2 linked regions of the Arabidopsis thaliana genome follow. The protein of the gene in region 1 interacts with the protein of each later gene in a pairwise test. Each region holds a gene or a part of one and is shown on either strand. Other genes may lie near its edges. The genes, in order: AT5G06770 and UBA1A.

Region 1 (11,471 bases):
CCAAGATGACACAAAGGGTCTGTCTACTTGTGCAAAGAGCTAATCATTAATCAAGTCTCTCTTGTTTAGTGAATTGGAACCATAATAATAGCAGTTTCATAGCTTTGTTCTTATCATAGTGTCACAGGCATTTAAATATGTGATTAGAGAGCTTTGCAAACCTGAATGATGCCTTTGATGCGCCACACACCATGTTTAAGGACAACGATATGTGAATCATCAGGATGCAACGACCTAAGCTCTTGTCTAACTTCTTCCAAAGCAGCATTGTGATCACTAGTCAGTTGCTCAGCTACAATCTTGTTTGACCTATTATTATTACTACCCATGGAACCAAGCACAGCACGAGAATCACCAACATTAGCGATAAGCAAAGTCCCTTTCCAAATAACTCCAACCAAACAACAAGATCCAACAGCTGCAATCAACGGTTTCAACCCGCAAGTCCTTCGCACAAGCGTGAGAAACCCTTCCTCAGTAGCAGAAAATGCAGCTCTTAAAGCCTCCTCTGAAATACAACTCCTTTCTCTCGAAACTCCTAAAAGATCAAAACTTTAATCAATAAGCAGCTAATGAAAACCATTGTAATCCACAAAAGGAACAAGACAAAGCTACAAAAATCCAGAAACGAACAAACAGAGAGACACACAAGACAAAGATAACCTGCCAAAAAGTAGGTAGCTCACCAAAAAATGATAAAGAAAAAGTCAAGATTCACTTCACTGTTCATCAGATGCATAAAGATTTCAACTTTCTACAAAAATTATCCGATCATCAAAACCAAATCAAGAAGAAGAAACACACACAGACACAGAATATCAAAGTGGACTTAGTGTTTGACTTGAAGAACACAAAAAGAGATTTTGTTTGACTTGAAGAAGACAAAAAGAGATTAAAAAAAACTAACTCATCAAATGAGAAAAGAGATGATCAGAGATGTATCTAGAAGCTTCAGGACCACCATGACCATCGTAAACTCCGACGAAAACGGCACCGTTTCCAGTCTCGACTTGACTATGATCTTCAATAACCTCGTTAGCTTGCACAACAGCAATAGAGAAATCTCCGAAAGAATGTCTCTCGAGTTCTCTAGACCAAAGAAGGGAGTCACCGGAGGAAGAAGAGTCACCGTCGTGATCATCATCATCGTCATCATCTCTGTTCATACGACCGTATCGCCGCATAGGTCGTAAACAAAAAAGAGCCATTCTCGCTAACCAGGAGAACATCCCTCATTTGCTCTCCACGACCACGAGAATTAACTCTTTATTTTAGGTCGCCGGAGACCACACCGGAAAGAGGAATCTCGTGATTTGTTGGATCGAAAAGCTTGAAACAGGTGAAGAGAGAAAACGAGTTAACGAATCGGAGATTGCGAAAACAAAAAGCAAAGTTTGTTCCTTTTTTATTTTCGATATGAATTGAATCTTTTTAGATGAAACTGAAGAAAAAAAATGTGAGATTTTTGGAGAAAAAGGAAAAGACTTTCGTTGGTCTTCAAGAGTGAGAGAGTAGTTGAAGCAAAGTGTGAAAAATATGATTTGTGTAAATTAAAGTTGTCTCTATAAATTAAAATTAAATTCAATTGATGACGTGATTTTTGGTACGTATTACCAAGGATCTTACATCATATTTTTGTTTTTGTCGATTTATTTAGAAATAGAAGTCTAAAAACGCGTTTCTTCTTAAAAAAAGTTAAAAGCATTTGACAAACCTAAACAGAGGATCAACCGCTCAAGCTCAGGTTTCATAAACACACTCTTCATCACCAAATCCTGCCCAAAAGGCATTCCAAAATCAGCCACAAACTGGGCTTTGAGCTTGATAATATCACGCTCCTTGCGGGTGATCCCTTGATGAGGAAGTAATGGGAAACTGATTAGGTTCTACATCATGAGTTTGTGGTCTTGACTTCAAAGTTGTTGGATCATCAATATCAGCTTGGATACTATGAGATCCCAGTGGAGTCTCGTGCATATCGTTGTACTCCATGTTAACAAAAAACTGAAAAGCATCCAAATCAATCAAAGCCATCTCCACTCCATGTTTAGCCTCCTCCTTTCCAAAAACTGAAAGACATTTTTCTTCCTACAACCACAAAAAAAAACACCAACGAAGATCCAAATCAGATTGGACGATTATAGAGCAACCGAAGAAGGAAGAAGAGTCAGCGTGAAAATCGAAAACGTACCAAAAACTGTAAAGGTTATAATTGTGAGTCTTTTGACTTTGGTTTTGTACTTCAAATACTAATGTCGGATCAATGATCATCTAATCGTTAAAAATCTTCATGGTTCAAAACGAAGTGACTATTTTAAGAATATTCACGCATGGTACATGTTGTTTTATACAAACCCATTGCGCAGAGAAATAATTTTTCTTTGATAACATAGTAGATTAATTCAAATATGATGCGAATGCTTCTCTTCAAAAACTTAGCATTAGCAATGTTTCTCTTCAAAGTTCAAAAAGTTAGCAATGTATTGTTATTGTTAAGTTGCATGGGCACAATATTGTTAACGGATAATTTTACTACTGTTACATTGCATGAACATTCTACTCATAAAGTAAGACTATCATCCAACAACAAAAACCTAGATGAGATCGAAGTCCTACAATTATTCAGAAGCACAAGAAAAAGAAAAAAAAAAAACAGAACACGAAAGTAAGACAGAAAACCACGAAATTTCGATTCAACAAAAACAGAGCAAATAACAGAACAAGTGAACAACACCGTTTATCCAGTATATCCCCCGCCGGTTCCGTACCCGGTGGCACCACCACCACCAACGTGAGTGTTATGAGCGGTTGTCCGACCAGTTCCAGTGTTCCTTCCAATCGGGTCGGTCACAGCCGTGCCCTCCACAACGCGGTCGGTCAGTTGTCCCGTTCCGTGACCAGGCAGAGCCGACATCTGATGTGTCCCAGTGCCGTGTCCGACTTGTCCAGTGGTCGAGTGAGTGGCCGTCCCCAAACCTAAACCGGTTCCGGCTCCAGCCGCTTCTTTCATGGCCGCGTTGTGCTGACGCGTTTCTCTCTTCTGCATCTCAGCTTGATTGATCTTATCTTCTTTAACCTGTGTAGCCATCTGTTTCTGAACAGGGTCTCGTGTCTTCATCTTCTCCGCCTTTTGAAGACAAAACAAACCCAACGTTACACCATTTTTATTATTTTACATCAATAAATTAATAATAACCACAATTCTGTTACCTTTTCCTCCAAGGTAGCTTTGGTTTTGTCCATGCCAGATTTTGCAGAAGCTGCAATATTCGAAGCTGTTTCTTTCATCGACTGCATTTTTACCAAATCTCTCTCTTTTCCTTTAGCGAAATTCAAAGATGTTACAAAGATATCTTCTGATTACTTTTGTTTATTGTTTTGCTCACCGAGCATGTCCCATAGATATAGCCATAGGCCTCGCGTTCGTCACGATAGTTTAATATTTAATTACGTTCTTGACGACACGTCAGTGAGACGTGTCATGAAAGAAGAGGAAGAAGAGGTGGTAGGCTTTGTGTTTCAGTTATTGGTCCTACACGTGTTGGAAAGCCTTTGAGTCGTTGAGAAGATAGATGTTGACGCGTGTTAGGCTTTAGAGTTCGCCTCATGTCGGCGGTTAACCCGGTTTTGTAATCGATAGGTTAAGACAAAACAAGTATATTATTGTGCATGATATCTTAAGAGTTAAGACAAAAATAGTATGTAGCTGTAATATAAGGGTTTTAACATATCAAAGTCTTTTAACTGTGATCGGTAACTTACAGAACTCGTCGAATCTTCAGAGCTCAATACAGAATGGGCTAAAGTTTTCAAAGCGAGTCGCATAAAACAAATTGATAAAACAAAAAGAGAGAGCAAAAAGTCACAATGATAATGGAGCTAACAATGCATAATCTGTTCTCAAGAGTCTAAAGACATAACTAAGCGATTCCTGACCTGCGCAGCTCAGATTCACCATGAGCAAAATGGCATCTATCTCCATATGTACAGTTCCCTTTAGAGTACCTATCACAGATCTTGGTTTTGTAGTTGCTCCCAGGATGTGGTTTCCCTTCAGGACCACCAATCCCTTGAGGTTTCTTCACTGATCCAAGCCTCCCTATAAGCTCTCTCACCATCCCACTCGCTACATTGATCTGTTCAAATGTTCCTTCCAGCTCGATAATCTTCAAGTTTGGGTCTCTTTCATGATCTTTAATCGATAATTTTGCTCCTGTTTCACGGCATATCTGTTTGGAATGGATTCCACCTTTTCCAATGATGGCACCGGCTAAAGAAGCATCTACACTGATCTTGGAAGTAGAAGCACCAAAGATTGAAACAGGGCCTGATCCTGGATCTCCTCTCCCTGAGAATCTGCCGCCGGGACCACCAGATCCTTGCATATTTCTGGAAACTTGAGAAACCGGTGGTCGGAGATTTGTCATCTGCGCTGCAGCATTGTACCCACCGGGCACATAGTGCAAGAAGTGGCAATTGTCACCAAATGGACATCCAGAAGTGCTGCAGTACAAACCATAATGCATCAGCAAATTCATTCGAGAAAGAACAAAACGACACATCTCCAAGCTGTTGCACTATTGCTACCTTCTCGAAAAAGCTATAGCGTTTTAGTACAAAGATAATGAAAGAAATTTATAAAGTAATAAAACAGATTGTAGTCATTATGCATCACCGATGAACAACACGTTGCACAGGAGCCGAAAGACTCATGGATAGTTCAAAGATAATGCAAGAAGAACCTTACTTGAGAACAATGGTTTTATGCTGCATATGCAAAATTACAGTTTCCTTACCATCAAACAGAAGAAGAATAAACAAATTGTTTACAACGACAGCCACAAAAACAAGTTTTGGTTGATTTTGTATATTAGATTCACCAGTAGAGTTCAGTTCCAAAATTATACTCCATATAAGCTTATCATCCATTCTTAGGAGGAATCACAGTTTGTTACATTGACTTTTTAACTCGTTTAAGGATGAACAGTGCTACGTACCTGTATAACAACTATCCACTTCATTAGCACACTTTATACAGTATTACTTCTTAATTTCATGATCCAATCAGGAAAAAAAATAGATTTATAACCTGAAAAATTTAGTGCATGGCTTGGATTTGCTTCCTAAACCAGTTGAAATTGATTCCATCTCTGTTGCAAACATTAAGTGCTTTTACTTGGTTAAACTTTTCTACAATTTTCTCAATACATATCATTTGGACTTGGCACCAGTATACCATTCTGGTTTTGAAAATTTCCAGGGTTATAGAGTTTTGAAATTGAACTCAACAGCTTGAGTTGATACAGATCAATATATCAATCAAGTAAATCCAGTAATGTTGAGTGGTCACAAAGGCTAATGGGAGTTGATTGATGAATCCAATGAATATGAGAAGAAGGGTAAGCCAATAGCACAACACAAAGCAGAACAAGATACAAACTTCTCATATCAATTGTCTCCCAACTCTCAAGTAAGGTAATACCAGACTGAAGCAGAAAAAGGGTTTGCGACTAATCTCTCTAATGAACACAAAAATGAACAAAGGAACAACCTTTACGAGAGACAGAGCACACATTGCAACTAGAAATGAACAAACATAAGTGATACCAAAACATTCTCTCTTGTTGTGAAGATCTCGAATTTCTAAAACCCAATTGGAGACAATAGGAAGGAGAGGAGTGAAAGAACAAACCTTGCTTAGACCTCTTGAATCCGCCATTGGAGTTGTGAGAGGCAGCAGCTTCAGGGCGTCCTCTCTTACGAGCATCCATGTCTCGATAAGATCGATTGAATCGGAGTAGGTAGAATCGAAGAAAGATGAAATGAGATCTCAAAGTTTTGTGATATGAGCTTTGCGATTCTTATCCTTTTAAAATTCTATTGGGTTTATCATCATCATCATCATCTCCACACACACAGCTCAACAATATAAATGGGGGATAGAGGTTTGCTTAATTTGTTAATAATATAAATTAATTCGTGGAACACCAAAAGACCAGGAGACTAATTCCATTATTAATTATATGGATTACTATAAATTTAAAGTATATACATTAACATTAGAATGAATTTATGTTTTGACAATAATAGAGTTTATTTGATGAGACTGGAATCAAACTTGTACTCATGCAAGTAATAAACACCAAAAAAATATTCAACTCTGATTATTTGTACACATATTACTTTATATTTATTGTTAATTCACATCCAGTGGTTTCAAAAATAGAGAATTGTTAAATTTGCGCGTTTTAATTGTTTTATCATAGTCACATTAGTTTTAATATATTCAAAAAATACAGAAAAAATAATTTGGGTAACGAGTCATTTGTAGAAATTTTGGAAAAAAATCGTTAAGTTTGGCGCGTTTTAATTTTTTATCATAATCACAGTAATTTAAACTAAAAAGTAGTATTTTTTTCTGATAACTCTATCAATAACATTCAATCTAAAAAAAATACGGAACATATAATTTGAATAATCGATCGGTTTAAGATTGCCATTAAGATTGAACATATAATTGCCATTAAGAATTAAGATTGTCATTTTAACAAAAGAAAAATTATAAAAAATTTCTAACATCGGGTCGATAAGACGATAACCCTGATACTAATTTATTGTTAACCGTTCTTATAACCATTGAATATATTTTTTTAAAACAATAAAATAAATTGAAGTAAAGTAACCATTGAAATATTTTTAAAATTGAAGGATTCAGTGACAGGTGATTTATGTTGATCTCACTTTCCATCTTATATTCTTGCTAATTGAATCAGATTTTGAATGTTATGCTCAAAGGTCAAAAGCCTCTTCTCAATATTTACATGCTTGGTTCGATTCTTTTTACATTGTTTAGACAGGAATTGGGGATTTGAGCAAGTAAATTATTAACGATCCTGATGGCAAGCCTGATGATGATCACACAAGTTCAGAATTTTTTTTTAAAAATAGTGTTTTTACAAACAAAATTCCTAACGATTATTTTCATACATTCTGAAACCACAAATTAGAAGAATACTACTAATTGTTCATCATATATGAACAAAATCATTTTCTGGGATCCCTTAAAGCAAAACAGAAGAAAAAGAAATATTGCTAGTCATTTTTCCTAGGGGTGATGGTGTCATACATACTCACCCCAGCAGCATTGGAAGCTCATGCGAATACGGTTCTTCTCCATCTGGTTCACCAGCACAAATTATGTTGTTGTTAGTGATCTTAGTGCATGACAAATAGAAATAAACAAAGGCCGCTGTTCACATTTATTACCGCTTTCGTAATCAGAAGCATCCGTAAGCCTTGCAATGGCAGCAATAAGCGCCTGTTCATGTTCCTATATCATCCAATAACAACAACACCAAGTTTCACTTCACTGTTTCTTTCAATCGATATCTCGTCACAAAGTTCTTATCAATTATCATATCGCTCACCTTGAGTAGCTTCTTGGCCTTATCAAGCTCATGTGGATCAGGAAGGTTTGAATCAAAAACTCTCTCGACCTAATGCGAAAGATTTCGACATCAAAAACCCTTTTTGCCTAAAGAGAAACAAAATGCAGAGAGATAGAGATACCTACCTCTTTCACAAGTGAGTCTGTGTTGAACAATTCAATCTCACCGAAAAACTTCCTCCCACCACCGTTTTCCGTTGCTAAATGTTCTCTTCTTGGCTGAGTTCTTGGACCTCTCCCTCTACCACCATGGCTTAAGGTCCTTCGATTCCCACGAGTTGTTCCACCGCCATGTCCTACATTCAAAGTTACCCCATCTTCCTCTCCATCCCATCTTATATCTTTCGTTGGAATCTACAATTATATAACTAACTAACTTCAGATTCTGCTGAAAATGTTTTCATACTAGGTGGATACACTATACAAATGTTTCCCACGTAATCTTACTAATGAAAGCTACCTCCAAAAACAAATGTAACTTTACCCAAAAGACATTCTTGGCAGCATTTTCCACAAAAAACTTAAAAACCTAATAATATCAAAAACTCGTGAAGATTACCTCATTAAGATCAACCCATTCCCATGTCTCATTCACTGTGTTTATATCATATACCAACGCATGTCGACCCTGCGAGAGAACAATGAATGCATCAATTACAATATACTTAAGCTATGTTCAACGCTAAATACAGTTCCAAACTTCTAGATATATCAAAGTCATAGTATACTTTTCAACGCCTCATATGCACATTAACAGTAAACACCTCCTTTCTTCAATTCATCAAGAACTACACTATAGAGAGACTTGATTAACTAGAGAAGTCTTTCGACAAATGCCTAAACCATGATCCTAGACTAATCCAGAGTACCCCGGCTCATTCTGCCTAAACTTCCTTTTTAACTAGTGAGCTATCTAGCTAAGCGATTCGACTAGTTGCTTAGCTTTCTACACAGTTACAATCAACCTAAAGTAATTGCAATGCTCACTCACTAGAGTAACTCTGAACTATACGGTAAATTTCGATCAGGCTTTGAGGCCTTGGAGTCAGATATTCGAAGTACAGGAGACACCTCGACACACAAACATATATAATGCTGAACATATGAATTTCTGATTCAATCTCAATAAAAAGGTCTCAGCCATCAGAAGTTACCTCATTTGCATTGTATTGTGTAACTACTGCTTCATAAAAGCTGTTGTCTTCAGGCCATTTTGTCCACACTTTTCTTCCAATAAGAGCTTCCGCAGGTTCATTTGCTGATACTACACGGTTATTGAATGACTTACTTCTAGTAGAACCAATCGACGGATACTGCATGTGTATCACAAATGATATGATCAGTAAATAAACAGAAAACCATATGCAAATACAGATATCCTCTGCTTGTTGTTCTATGACCAAAGATTAAAACAAGAAGTCTTACGGATTGGAACGTCTTCTGTTTCTTCCGAGAAGCTGAAAAAGTCGGACTAGGATGAACATCGAGGGACTGATGTCTAACAACCTGGTTTCCACCTCTTGGTCTCGAATCTCTGTTGGTCCAGTTCCATCATACAACACATTATTACAAGATACAACGAAATCTAGATTCATAGCTTTACTATCACAAATGATCAGACTCGTTACCTTATTCTTTTGATAAGATCATCATTATGGACATTGTTCAACAGTTGTCGGTTTTCATCATCAGATATCCTCAATTCTTTACGTAGGTTTGTCATCACGGTTGCTTTATCCTATAAAATGAAACCATATAAGCCAAATCCTTTGTCTTTTGATGGCAAAAGGAAGAAAGAGGACTTACCCAAGAAAATTCATCAGCCTGTGCTTGAAAAGCTCTTAATACAGCAGAATAAGCTTCCTGCTCAAGTATATGAATCTGCGCTTCCATATTAATGTGTAGACCTACCATATACTTTCCATCCAAATGAAACCAACCCTTCTTCTGAAATGTAGAAAACACTTTATAACATCAATAGTTTAACAAACTACTAAATTTTCAGGTACTTCACGAAAAACATTGGCACTAATCAGATTCATGAATAATTTTGACAGTCGAGGTCTCATGAGAATGTAGGAGCTTATTGGTGGACTTATTGTATCAAGAAATTGGATAACTTTAGTTTAAGCGAATATTCGGACAGCAAAAAAAATAGACATGAGATGATCAAACAATCTAATAGAATGTGAAAAGAATATCTTAAACCCTAAGAAAGAGAATAATTTAGTAAAACCCTTTTTTTTAAACTCCAGTGATATTTCAAACCCTAGAACTGTTAGATCTCTCAATGGACAAAAGAGAAATGTCTTAAATCGCTCAAACTAAGTACAAAACAGAAATTATACCTCCTTATTCAGAATCCTGTCGTAAAACAGCAATCTTTATACGAAACCCTTAATTGTCGAAGAGAGAAAGATTGACTCCCAAACGCAGAGGCTATAAAGAGCTGATTGGATCCGAAGTGAGTAATTCGTAGGGAATTGAAGAGAGAAATTGAAAGAATTTGACAAAAAGGAAAGAACTTTTCTAAGTATTGGTAGAGATTGATCTTGATAAAAAGCGGAAGTGCAGTGTTTTGAGCTGGCTGGGCACAGCGTGCGATGAAGAGAGAGAGAAGAGAAGATCGAAGACGGGAAGTTCCAAGTTGGAGGAGAGAGAAACCTTAGTTTGGTCGGAAGCAGCTTAAGACAAGACGATGCGTTTTTGTTTAATTTCATTTTGGGCCTATTTTATGATAACATAGGCCTGTTTGGCCCAAACTGTTAATGAAAATATGAAATGTATGTTTTTTTTAAGGCACCTCTACTGGAGTCTCTAAAGTCTAAACTAAGACTTGTATTTATAATAAATAAAAGTTGGTTTTTATGCTAAAATTGTTTAGAATCAGGCTTGTTAATTTAATGTTTAAATTTTTTATATATCATAAAAAATAAAATTATCTATATATAAGCTCCATTATGCATAAGCTTAAACTATATATGAATATTATTTTTAATTGATATTACATAAAGTTAATAAATAATTTTAAATTAATGTAGTTTTAGTTAATACAATTATATAATTTAGGAAAAACTGAGATTTTGAAAATTAAAATTTACACTTTATAAATTTTATCAACATTTTGATATTTTAAATATAACTTGTTTTATATGTTGTCTAGCATTTTTAAGGTTACACTATCTTAATTTTTTGCATAATGATGTTATTTAAGGAAATATTTTATTTCTGATGGATCTTAGAAAAGTCAGATAAGTAAACTGAAAATCGAAATTGGTCCCGTTGTATACAACCAAAAGAAAACAACAATATCAGAAGATAGTAGCAAAAGAACGTCATAAACCACAAAAGCCAAAGTTACAAAAATCCATTCCATTTGTATCCTCTCTTCTCCTTTTTGGACTGTCGTCTATTCTAGTTTATAAACCACCACCATCAATATCATCATCATTAGACTGTAACACAACAAACACCACACAATCCATATATCCCTATGCTTCCAATACACATTTTCAGATAATTCAAACTATGCATGTGAGGAGTTTCAAAAGAAGAAAAGAAGGAAAAAGTGAAATCACATAAAAAGAAATGAAAGATACAAATTAGGCCCCATCATCATCGTTATCAACCGCTTCTATTCAGGGTTCCTTGGGATCTCCTATATGAATCAACTTTCTCCAACATGAACTTCTCATGGCAATTTGCTATAAACCTATCAGCCAATTTATCAATCTCATTCATCATCGTCTCTGTCTCCTCTTCTTGGCCGTCTTTAACTTTATCCTCTAGCTGTCTTAGATAGCTAGAGAGCTGAGATGGTTCTTGATCATCATCATCGCGACCATCCATGGATTCAGTGGAGTACATTGACTCCCAAGTCGATTCGTGTACGAGATGAGCTAAGTAGAGCTCTTCCGGGAGACGCACTGGCGCAGAGACAGGCACTACGTGAGAGGAGCAAAAGTTGTAGTGAAGTCTGAAGGAGCCGAATAATATATTATTCTTTTGTTTCTTTGAGACTCTC
Region 2 (10,434 bases), on another chromosome or scaffold:
ACAGTATCGTGGACATCCATGATTATCGCGTTGGCACAGCACGGTCACGCAGAAGAAGCACTTGAGCTTTTTGAGACAATGCTGATGGAAGGACTAAGACCTGATCACATAACATATGTTGGTGTTTTCTCTGCCTGTACTCATGCCGGTTTGGTCAACCAAGGTCGTCAATACTTCGATATGATGAAGGACGTTGATAAGATTATACCTACCCTTAGCCACTATGCTTGTATGGTGGACCTGTTTGGACGTGCTGGTTTATTGCAGGAAGCACAAGAGTTCATCGAAAAGATGCCTATTGAGCCTGATGTAGTGACATGGGGTTCACTGCTTTCTGCTTGCAGAGTTCACAAGAACATCGATCTTGGGAAAGTTGCAGCAGAGAGATTGCTTCTTCTCGAGCCAGAGAACAGCGGGGCATACTCAGCCTTGGCTAACTTATACTCAGCTTGTGGAAAATGGGAAGAAGCTGCTAAGATAAGAAAATCAATGAAAGATGGAAGAGTAAAGAAGGAACAAGGGTTTAGCTGGATTGAAGTGAAGCATAAAGTCCATGTCTTTGGAGTGGAAGACGGGACTCATCCAGAGAAGAACGAGATCTACATGACCATGAAGAAGATTTGGGACGAGATCAAGAAAATGGGTTATGTTCCCGACACAGCTTCTGTACTACACGACCTCGAAGAAGAGGTTAAAGAACAGATTCTAAGGCACCACAGCGAGAAACTAGCAATCGCATTTGGACTAATTAGCACTCCGGATAAAACCACATTGAGGATCATGAAGAATCTCAGAGTGTGCAATGATTGCCACACGGCTATAAAGTTCATTTCCAAGCTTGTGGGAAGGGAAATCATAGTGAGAGATACAACAAGATTTCACCATTTCAAAGATGGGTTTTGTTCTTGCCGAGATTATTGGTGAAAATAAGGAAGATCCAAAGAATTCTCATAAGGTCTAACTCAAGCCATTGTACAGAACAGATTCAGGTATGGCTTCGTTGGAGGGAAACCAACAAAAGTTTTCCTCTTTCATTGTTTAATTGGTATGTAAGTTCCATCATCATCATAGTTATTGAGCATTAGAATAAGATGACATGGCATGTGAGTCTTTAGTGCTAAAGGAGAAGGATATAATGAACGATTGAGATATTTTTGGGAAAAGCATAAAGAGGAAATGGAATTGGAACAATCAGAAAGAAGTATAGAAGAAGAAGGAGAAGAAGAAGAGAATATGGTTCTGTTTGTTACCAAAAGCTTTTCTTTTTAGTTTTTACTAACCATTGACTACATACATACATTAATACATAGATGAAGAAAGATCTTGGTCGGCATAAAATGTATGACTTAACAGAGAGAGCCCACACTTGTGTAGCTTACGTGGCAGGTCAATTAGAGATGATCACATAGAGTCACTGCCCGTACTGCCCTAAGGATTCGTAGTAACAACTACGGGCAGCTTCACACTCTTCTCTTTCATCTCTCATCTCTCTCTTCTCCTATATCTGAGATTCTGAACAACTCTTCTTTGATCACAAATCTCACACTTTTTCCATTAATGAACAGAGCTCATTTCTTCTAGTCCTTTTCTCTTTCTTTCTTCCTTTTTCCGCTAATTACAGAGCTTTTCTTTGGTACGTTCTTCTTCTTCTTGTATCTGTTTATTTTGTTTCTTAGATTATTGTTTTGTATGTTGTCAAATATTGAAGTAGAGGACAACCTCTAAACTTGGTTGTTTCCTCTGTTTTTCATGATTCTTTCTATGATTGCTCTGTTTTGTCTTTTTTTTTTCTCGTCAATAACTTCAAAACGAAGATTGCTCCATATTTGATAAATGGACAAGAAAGTTGTCTGAAAATTTTGCTTTAGTTATTATTATTGCAGATCTAACGGTTTTCATAACTGTTAAATACAGAGTGAAGAAAGAATGGAGTTGAAAGAACAAGGTATGAGTATGAGGTTGTCTCTGGTTCTCGGTAACGCTTTAGTGCTAAACTGCGCCGCTTTGGCTTTAACGGCTACTATGCTCTCTTCTTTGCTAGAGCTCTTCTCTCAGGCAAGCTTTTTCTATTTTCAACTTTTTTTTTTTTCCTTCTTAACAAACGTTTACAAGTATTCGCGGTCGCACAAAACAACAACTTTATAAAAATAGATTTTTTTCTACACAAAAGTTTCACACAAATTTTTTTGGCTACAAAACTAAATCTTGACCGACTTGAAGCGTTACTTCATCAGAATGGGTGGTTGGAAAAATATATAAAATTAAAAAGTTTTGGTTAAATATTGTGAGGGTATGTATATAATAATAGCTATTAGTTGAGGACGGTTGCTTTTAATGGGGAATATTAAGATAGATTTTTAAAATCTAAATTATAAATTGTAGGTCCAAAAAAAATCAAAAAGGTATATTCCATATATTATGCTTCCAAGTTTTTCAAATTTAATGTCTAGAAGAAGCCCATGTCCTAATTTAGTATGTCGGCCCAATTTGTAAAATCATGTTAACTTGGTAAAAGATTGTTTCTGGTAGTGATAAAATGAATATGAAGCTGCAGGTTACTGTCTTGAAGGGTGATGTTATAGAGAATGGATATGAGGTGGTTGATGCAGTGGAAGGCAATGGAAACAATGATGATAGTGGTGATGATGGAGGAGAAGACGAAGAAGGCAGTGCAGATGATGCAGAAGGAAAGGAGACCAAGAAAGGACCGGTAAGTGATCCTGATTTGAACGGTGAAGCTGGAGATAATGATGATGAACCTGAAGGGGATGATGGTAACGATGACGAGGATGATGATAACCATGAGAACGATGATGAAGATGAGGAGGAGGATGAAGACGAGAATGATGATGGTGGTGAAGAAGACGACGATGAGGATGCGGAGGTAGAGGAGGAGGAAGAGGAAGAAGATGAAGATGATGAGGAAGCGCTTCAGCCACCAAAGAAGAGGAAGAAGTGAACAAACCGCTTTGATCTCCTAACATTTTAGATTCAAAAATCAAAACTTGTTATCGGTTTTTACCTGAAGAGGAGAGAATCTTAAGGCATCATCAGCTTTAGCTTCAACTGTGTCTTTGTTGTTCCATAAACCAAGACTTTGTTTAGTGTAACATTTTCAGATCCAATGGCACCAGCTTTCTTTTCTTTAGCCCATCATTAATGATATATGCATATCTCTATGAGGTCATCAAATGCGATCAAATTTATATAACAACTTCAAGGGTCAACTTTAGCTGTCATAAATAGTTAAAAGAAAGTTAAATCCTATTGAGTCCTCATAGAGCAAACCTTTTTCCCCAGAGGTCACAATACAGATTGCACAGAGGTCTTTAACGAATAATCACAATGATATTACTTGAGCCACAGACTGTCTATCGTATGATATCGGACAAGAGTGACATCAAACAGAAAAAAAAAGAAAGGAAGAAAAAACAATACAAAAAAAAACTAAAACGTACTGACTTTGATAGAAATGTTAAAAAGAAATCCCCAGAAACTGCATGTTTATCATTCTCATGCTCAGCCCACACCATCTGCAAAAGTTGGAGTTCAAGAAAACAAAACAAAACATAACTCTATCAAAAGCTGAAGACAAAAAGAAAAACATATGGAAACAAGAGCAATGCTCTATCTTTCTGGTAAGATAACCCCGAAAAGTGAAAACAATAGAAATCAAAGGGACAAACATAAAAAAAATGTTAAAACTCAAACTTAAGTCTAAAACCATGAGTGCAACAGCATGAACAGATGCTATAGTTTACAGTCCGTTTAAAGACGTTAGCACCAAAACCAGATGAGTGGAGAGATGGTGGACGTTCAGTTTATAAAACCCAGTGCAACACTAAAACAAAAAAAGCCAAGAGACAAAAAGAATGTAACAATATTCGTCCCCACCATCACCAACCTATAGAGAAACTAACTTCGATAAAACAAATGGCACTTGAGAAAACTGTAAAACCAGGGACAGTAAAGAAAAGAAAACAAAACATAAACCAACAAAAGGAAAAATAATGGAGAAAACAAAAAAAACAAAAGTATGGTGGGTCACATTGCATCTACTTGAAATAGAGTCGAAGCAAGATTCATGAATAATGAATTACGGCAACCGATGACAATGCTAACCTACCTCTAGAACATAATTTAGGTATTTAATTCCTGTAGCAGTTCCTCCTAGGAATATACATATTTAGGCATTTAAGCCAACTATTTGACTAGAGAGGCATAATAATGTCAGATAAAATTCCGGTACTACCACAAAAGCCTTAATCCATTTATCTACACATGACGGAGCTACAATGAATTTATGCTTATCCAAAGACATTCAAACCACAATATTAGCACAAACATTGCTACAAAACACCAAAGGTTTCAGTGAACGTACCATGAATAGTTTGAGTAGCCATGAAAGGAGGAGCCACCAGCATCCGAATCTTTACCCGTCCCTCTTTTTCCACCAGCATCCGAATCAGGATAAGTACTAGGCAGACTCTGACCTCTAAAGTAAGAACCTAGAGCTGAAAGACCAGCAGCACCAACGCTTGGATCAACACCAATCCCACCCATTTGACTAGACTGTACCATATCAGAACCCAACCCGCCATGTGCTAGAGCACCCGCTAACATCGGATACATGTAACCTCCCCCAGCTGCTGCTGCTGCTGCTAAAGCTGGATTTCCCAACATCCCAGCTCCATAAAGCGGATGGTATTGGTTCCCTAACATAAACGGCGAAGCAGCCATTCCACCACCGTTAAACACATGTTGACCTTGTACCTGCTGTTGCTGAGGCTGTCCATGATTAGCCATCGAACCCATACTAATCTTCACCGGACCAGGTTGATCATGCCCCTTTCCTGAAGCCGCAGGACCCATAGAAGCAAGCTGGCAAGTGGCAGTTCTATTAAGAATCCTCTTCTTCGGTTCTTTAAGAGCTTCTTTAGCTCCTTTCCTAGTCTTGAACATAACAAATCCAAACCCTTTAGCCTTACCAGTAGCCTTATCTATAACAACGGTACACTCTTCAATCTCACCATAACCTTCAAAGACTCCAACAAGAGTCTCGCGAGTCGTCTCCCATGGAAGACCATAAACGAAGATTTTCCTGTGTGTAACATCACGATCTGCGGCTTCTACGACGGCGGAATAGATCGAAGATCCGATTCGAGAAGCGGAACAAACTAGATCGACAAGCTGGTCCTTGGAATAAGGTTGTAGAAGCTCACGGAGCTCTTCTGGGTCGAATTCGTTGTCTGATTCGGAATCGCTAGAATCAGAGCTGGAGCTTGAACTTGAATATGGCGTTGAGGATTCTGGTTGTTGTTGTTGTTTGTTAATCTTCTGTTTCTTATCGAAATTCGTGGATTTGGATTTCACGAGTTTGCGCTTCTTAGATTTGTCTAGGGTTTTCGCCATTGTAGTAGAGGATAAACGAGTCAAGAAGCTTTTAGGGATTTTGATTTTTGATTTTTGATTTCAGTTTCCTGTTTCCCCTCGGGTCAAGAGTTCGATTTACTTTATCCTCGAGATGTCGTTTTTCCGATTTTTTCAGTTTAATTTTTTTTTTATTCGAGTATTTTGCTTTGAATATATTTTCAAATATTTAGATTATTTTTGGATTGGTTTATTTTGAATATTTTTATTATTTTACATATTTTTAAATATTTGCTTTATATTTAAGATAAGGCCTTAGATCTTTGTAGAGGTTACATGGCAAGATGCTGGCTTTAAGTTATGATGGCTATACATCAACCGGAATACCATAAGCTCCCTAACTTTACGGGGTGTGAACTTTGTGGTACTTTTCTTTTAGAGCGCCGTCAGAAAAGATTCCTGGCTAGGCAGAGGTTTTAGCCATATTGGTGGTGTCGCTCTGCTACTTGTTTATTCATTCACCAGTTGAAACTTTTTTTTCTTTCTTTTTTATCTTTATGTGTTATGAGAAACTAAAAAAATAGTCACCGAGATCTTAGAGAGGGTTTTGTTTTTGTTCTTAAGATTTTCAGAGTTTCCCCATTGGAAAGAAAAACAAAGCCCTCATAAGATCATGATCACAAAACAACGAAATCAAATGACCAAAACCAAACCAAAGTTGATTTAGCTGAAGCATACTATAGATTAATACGAGTTGATTCATATGGATGGATGGATAGCTGCAGAGAAGACCAAAAACCGAGAAACAAGATTGATCCTCTTAAGAAATCGAAAAACTGAAAACAAGATTGATCCTCTTAAGAAAACAAGCATTCGCATCATCGGTCACTGTGAGGTCATTGTGAAAATCCAAAGAAAAAAAAAAAAAAAACAAGTATGCTTTGCTACCATAACCAGAGTTATATAGAATATGAATAACGAGCAGGTAAAAAAAAGGTAAATCCAGAACAAAGCTATGTAAGGTGAAAAACAAATTGGGTCCAAGTACCGATGACCAAAAACAATCTTGAACTTAGGCAAGAAAACTTGGCAACTGATATCAAAATGGACTCTTAAATACAAAAGAGAAAGGGGCGACACTACCATAAAAGAGGAATGTGATGAAAGAGATTGAGAAGCTTATAAAAACCTATGGGGAAGAAAACAATGCTTGAAGGAAAGAAAACTCAGGTTGTTTATTCCAGAGAAAATCAACTTGAAGCTTTTGAAAGAGTCCCAAAACTTTTTCCAGTACTCAAAAAGACAGATTTAAAACAAGAATGTAAAACCATTATGTCTGATCCTACAAACGGGTCTCAAGACAACTGCAGCTGGAAGATACAGACTTTTGGCAGTTATGACATATAGTGGACAAAACTATAAATGTCATAAGCTTCTTCTCCAGCTATAGCGAACAGATATTCAATGAAAATGCGGGAAAACATAAAACCAAAAACAAGGAAAAACAAAAGAGAAAAACATACGCCATGCCACAGAAGAAAACCAGACGTGAGTTTGATGGGTAAGGAGAAGACAGAAGACCATAATGGGGGACTCCAAAAGGGAAAACAAAGAGATAGCAAACTACTTTAAACCAATATTGATCCTAGTAACTAAATCTTCTAGACAAAATGACCACATTTCACTGGTTTATGAGAACAGAGCAGAACACCAATGACAGACTTCCAGAGAGCAACAGAAAATTCATCCTTTGAGCACACATCTCCCTCAAAATGGCTCATATAGGGGTAGATACCTCGTTAAAAGAGACTATAAATAATGAAACTAAAAAAGTAGGTTTGAAACATCAGGCATAGAAAATAAAGATCCGCAAAAAAAACTCCTGCAATTCCCAAAATATCAAGTTGGAGTCGAAGATACCGGACTAATCATTAGCCTAATCTATAACTTGAAATATCAGAGAACATGGTCATACCACTTGGGTTCTCTTATCTCAGATACCAAGCACGTTCACCATCAAAACCAGCACCAGCACCAGCACCCGCACCAACACCGTTAACATTACCATCACCAACATATTGTCCCACCATTCCCATATGATTCGGTGGCATCATAGGTCCTTGATTCATCATACCCGAGCCAAACATACGATAATTCTGTAAACCAGCAACCATCGGATTACCCATCATTGCACCATACATAGGATTAAAACCAGGAGGAGGCTGAGAATGTCCATAAAAGGGCATGTTCTGTCCAGCATACATTGACATATTCTGCTGCTGCTGATGTCCCTTATCAAGTCCATGACCCAAATCAATCCCAGGCAAAGCCATTTCACTCTGATTACCCGTATGACTCAAATCAATCTTCACAGACTCAACCGGTTGTTGTTGTTCTCGTGGCTTTCCAGAATTAAACGGCCTAGCTGGTAAACAACTAACAGTTCGATTATACATTCTCTTCTCCGGATTCTTCAACGCCGCTCTCGCTCCTTTACGCGTCTTAAACAACACAAAGCCAAAACCTTTAGCTCTTCCTGTATCTTTATCCATAACCACAGAACATTCCGTTATCTCCCCATAAACCTCAAAAGCCGCCTTGAGATTCTCATGCGTTGTATCCCATCCAAGACCACGCACGAATATGTTCCGTTGAGAACTATCTCTATCCGCTGATTCAAACACTGCTGAGATCAATTTAGAACCTTTCTCAGCAGTTTTGTAAATTAGGTTAATAAGCTCCTCTTTAGAGTAAGATTCAAGTAGATTCTTAATATCTTCCTTATCGAATTCGAAATCAGAATCAGACTCAATGGTAACAATCGGGACCGTAACAGGCTTTGAATCGACGATCTCTTCGGATTCATCTGATGATCTCTTATGTTTCTTCTTACTCTCCTTCGATTTCTTAGGAGATGGAGATGGAGATGGAGATTTCTCCTCTTCTTCTACTTCTTCGTATTTCTTCGATTTCTTCTTTGATTTCTCTGGTTTCTCTTCCTCTTTGGATTTCGATTTATGTTTTTTTGAGATTTTCTTCTCTCTTACAGCGAGTTCTTCAGCTTCGCGACGCTTCCTCTCCTTCCTCTCCTTCTTCTCTTTCTTCTCCTTCTTACGTTCTTCTCCTTCTTTCGCCATTGTTGACGGCAGTGGCTACCAAAAAAAACACTCTGAATAGAGTAACTCCTCTAAAATAGGGTGCACCAGAGAACACTAGATTATTTAAGTATATTTATAATAAAGTAAAGAGTCTAACAAAAACGTCTGGGTGGTGTAGTCGGTTATCACGCTAGTCTCACACACTAGAGGTCCCCGGTTCGAACCCGGGCTCAGACATGCTTTTTTTTTTGCAACACATAATTTTTTTTTTTAACATGAATTAGTAGAGGGGCAAAAACGTCAAAATACAGAAAAGGAAAAAGATACAACATTTCTGGTTTTTGTGTGCCGGCGAAGAACCGGTGAGTGACGGGTCAATTCACATACTTGTTTAACGGCAACAAAAACCTACCGATAAATGCTAAACTAACGAAATCGGATCATAGCTCGACGAAGTCTCGATCTTTTCTATTCTCTCTTTCTGGGTATTCGTGGGTTTTACCCAGATTTCGAAATTGAATGGCGGACGAACTGGAATTGTCGCCGTTGGTTCCACCGTCGCCGATGGTCGAGCCTTCCGAGATCGATCTCGAAGCTGGAGGACCTGGTGAACAAATTCAGTGCCGAATCTGCCTTGAAACTGATGGTAATGTCTTCTAAAACCATTTAGATTCGCTTCTTCCTTAAATAGATTCTTTGCTTCTTGCTAGTGATTGTTGAACATTTTCATGTGCTCATAGATATGTCTAACTTCAGTTCAAGAATTCGGATTATGAAATTCGAATTGGCTAGATCGTTAATGGTTCTGATGTGATTTAGATTAGTGTTAGTGATAAACTCTTTTTTTATAAAAGACTAGTGATTTAAAACCGTGATATAGTGAGAGAGCTTTTGTTCTAACTTACTTGGTTGATTCAAGCTCATTTATTGATCATGGTCAGGTAGGGATTTCATTGCCCCATGCAAATGCAAAGGAACATCAAAGTATGTACATCGTGATTGCTTGGATCATTGGAGAGCTATAAAGGTTCCATTTTTTCATACGCTTTAGCTCAACTTGGGTCCATGCTTGGCTGTCGTTAGTGTTACTTGAAACTTGAAAGCTATGAATGCTCGCTTTCACTCTTTGACTATTTGTTGTTATCCCTTCCATTTTCAATCAAATATGACAACCTGTGTAAGTGTTATTGAATAGGAACTTCCCTTTTGTTGTAAATTTCTATTTTTGTTGAATACGAAAACCATTCGAAGGCTAAACAACTAAAGAATGATGGTTTTGGATGTGAAATTTTCAGAGTTGATATATGTTTCATGAGTGATGATTAGAGTGGTGGTGTTTTTGGTAGTATCATGGTAAAATAATGAATAGCAGATGTTGACGCCTGGTAAGCTCGTTTTATTGCAGGAAGGTTTCGCGTTTGCGCACTGCACAACTTGCAAGGCTCCATATTATCTGAGAGTTCACAGTGCTGGAGATAGGAAATGGCGGACATTGAAGTTTCGCTTCTTTGTTACTCGAGACATTTTATCCATATTTCTTGCTGTTCAGCTTGTAAGTATTCATTTTTCATGTGTGCTTCTGTTTCTTACAGTAGTTTTTCTTTCATTTGGTAATATATCTAACTCATGCCTTTTAAATGACTTCATCTGCTCACAGGTGATTGCTGCATTGGCCTACATGGTCTATTTCATAGATAGTTACCAGCAATCATGGCTTCGTCATATATGGGGTTTTGACAGTGAGGTCACGTTTTATTACATGTGTGGTATGATCCCAAACTTTAATATCTAAATAAATTCCCCTCTAGATAAGATAATATTTTTTAGTAAGACCTCTGCCAAGTGTAGTTGGTAAGACGGGAATGCTAAGTTTATTATTGTACATATGTCCTACAGTCCTTGTTAAAGCTTTGCTTCAATCAGAATCTTAGATTCCAATGTAAGGAGTTTGCTATTAGATGATTTC

The links.
Region 2: the proteins of AT5G06770 (region 1) and UBA1A interact in binary tests that used the Arabidopsis thaliana proteins (3 or more experiments, as listed by UniProt).

Annotation. Positions count from the first base shown.
Region 1 is NC_003076.8:2,087,017-2,098,487, forward strand, and holds AT5G06770 (KH domain-containing protein / zinc finger (CCCH type) family protein), read right to left. Parts: upstream 5,986-11,471; 5' UTR 5,772-5,985; coding exon 5,693-5,771; exon of another isoform or gene 5,164-5,692; coding exon of another isoform or gene 5,151-5,163; coding exon 5,090-5,150; exon of another isoform or gene 4,563-5,089; coding exon of another isoform or gene 4,504-4,562; coding exon 3,921-4,503; 3' UTR 3,687-3,920; downstream 1-3,686. Other genes in the region: AT5G06750 (Protein phosphatase 2C family protein), read right to left, coding at 162-538, 908-1,229; AT5G06755 (uncharacterized protein), read right to left, coding at 1,831-2,069, 2,151-2,271; LEA4-5 (Late Embryogenesis Abundant 4-5), read right to left, coding at 2,738-3,127, 3,211-3,297; EML2 (Emsy N Terminus (ENT)/ plant Tudor-like domains-containing protein), read right to left, coding at 7,131-7,177, 7,267-7,330, 7,428-7,496, 7,574-7,801, 8,007-8,075, 8,602-8,760, 8,873-8,981, 9,076-9,185 and 1 more; AT5G06790 (cotton fiber protein), read right to left, coding at 11,072-11,471.
Region 2 is NC_003071.7:9,385,039-9,395,472, forward strand, and holds UBA1A (RNA-binding (RRM/RBD/RNP motifs) family protein), read right to left. Parts: upstream 5,469-10,434; 5' UTR 5,413-5,468; coding exon 4,369-5,412; 3' UTR 4,012-4,368; downstream 1-4,011. Other genes in the region: AT2G22070 (pentatricopeptide (PPR) repeat-containing protein), read left to right, coding at 1-924; AT2G22080 (uncharacterized protein), read left to right, coding at 1,927-2,055, 2,555-2,959; AT2G22088 (uncharacterized protein), read left to right, coding at 3,346-3,502, 3,764-4,011; AT2G22100 (RNA-binding (RRM/RBD/RNP motifs) family protein), read right to left, coding at 7,359-8,507; AT2G22120 (RING/FYVE/PHD zinc finger superfamily protein), read left to right, coding at 8,988-9,114, 9,410-9,495, 9,874-10,020, 10,126-10,234. UniProt on the Arabidopsis thaliana protein: Acts as a component of a complex regulating the turnover of mRNAs in the nucleus. Binds with high affinity to RNA molecules that contain U-rich sequences in 3'-UTRs. May function in complex with UBP1 and contribute to the stabilization of mRNAs in the nucleus.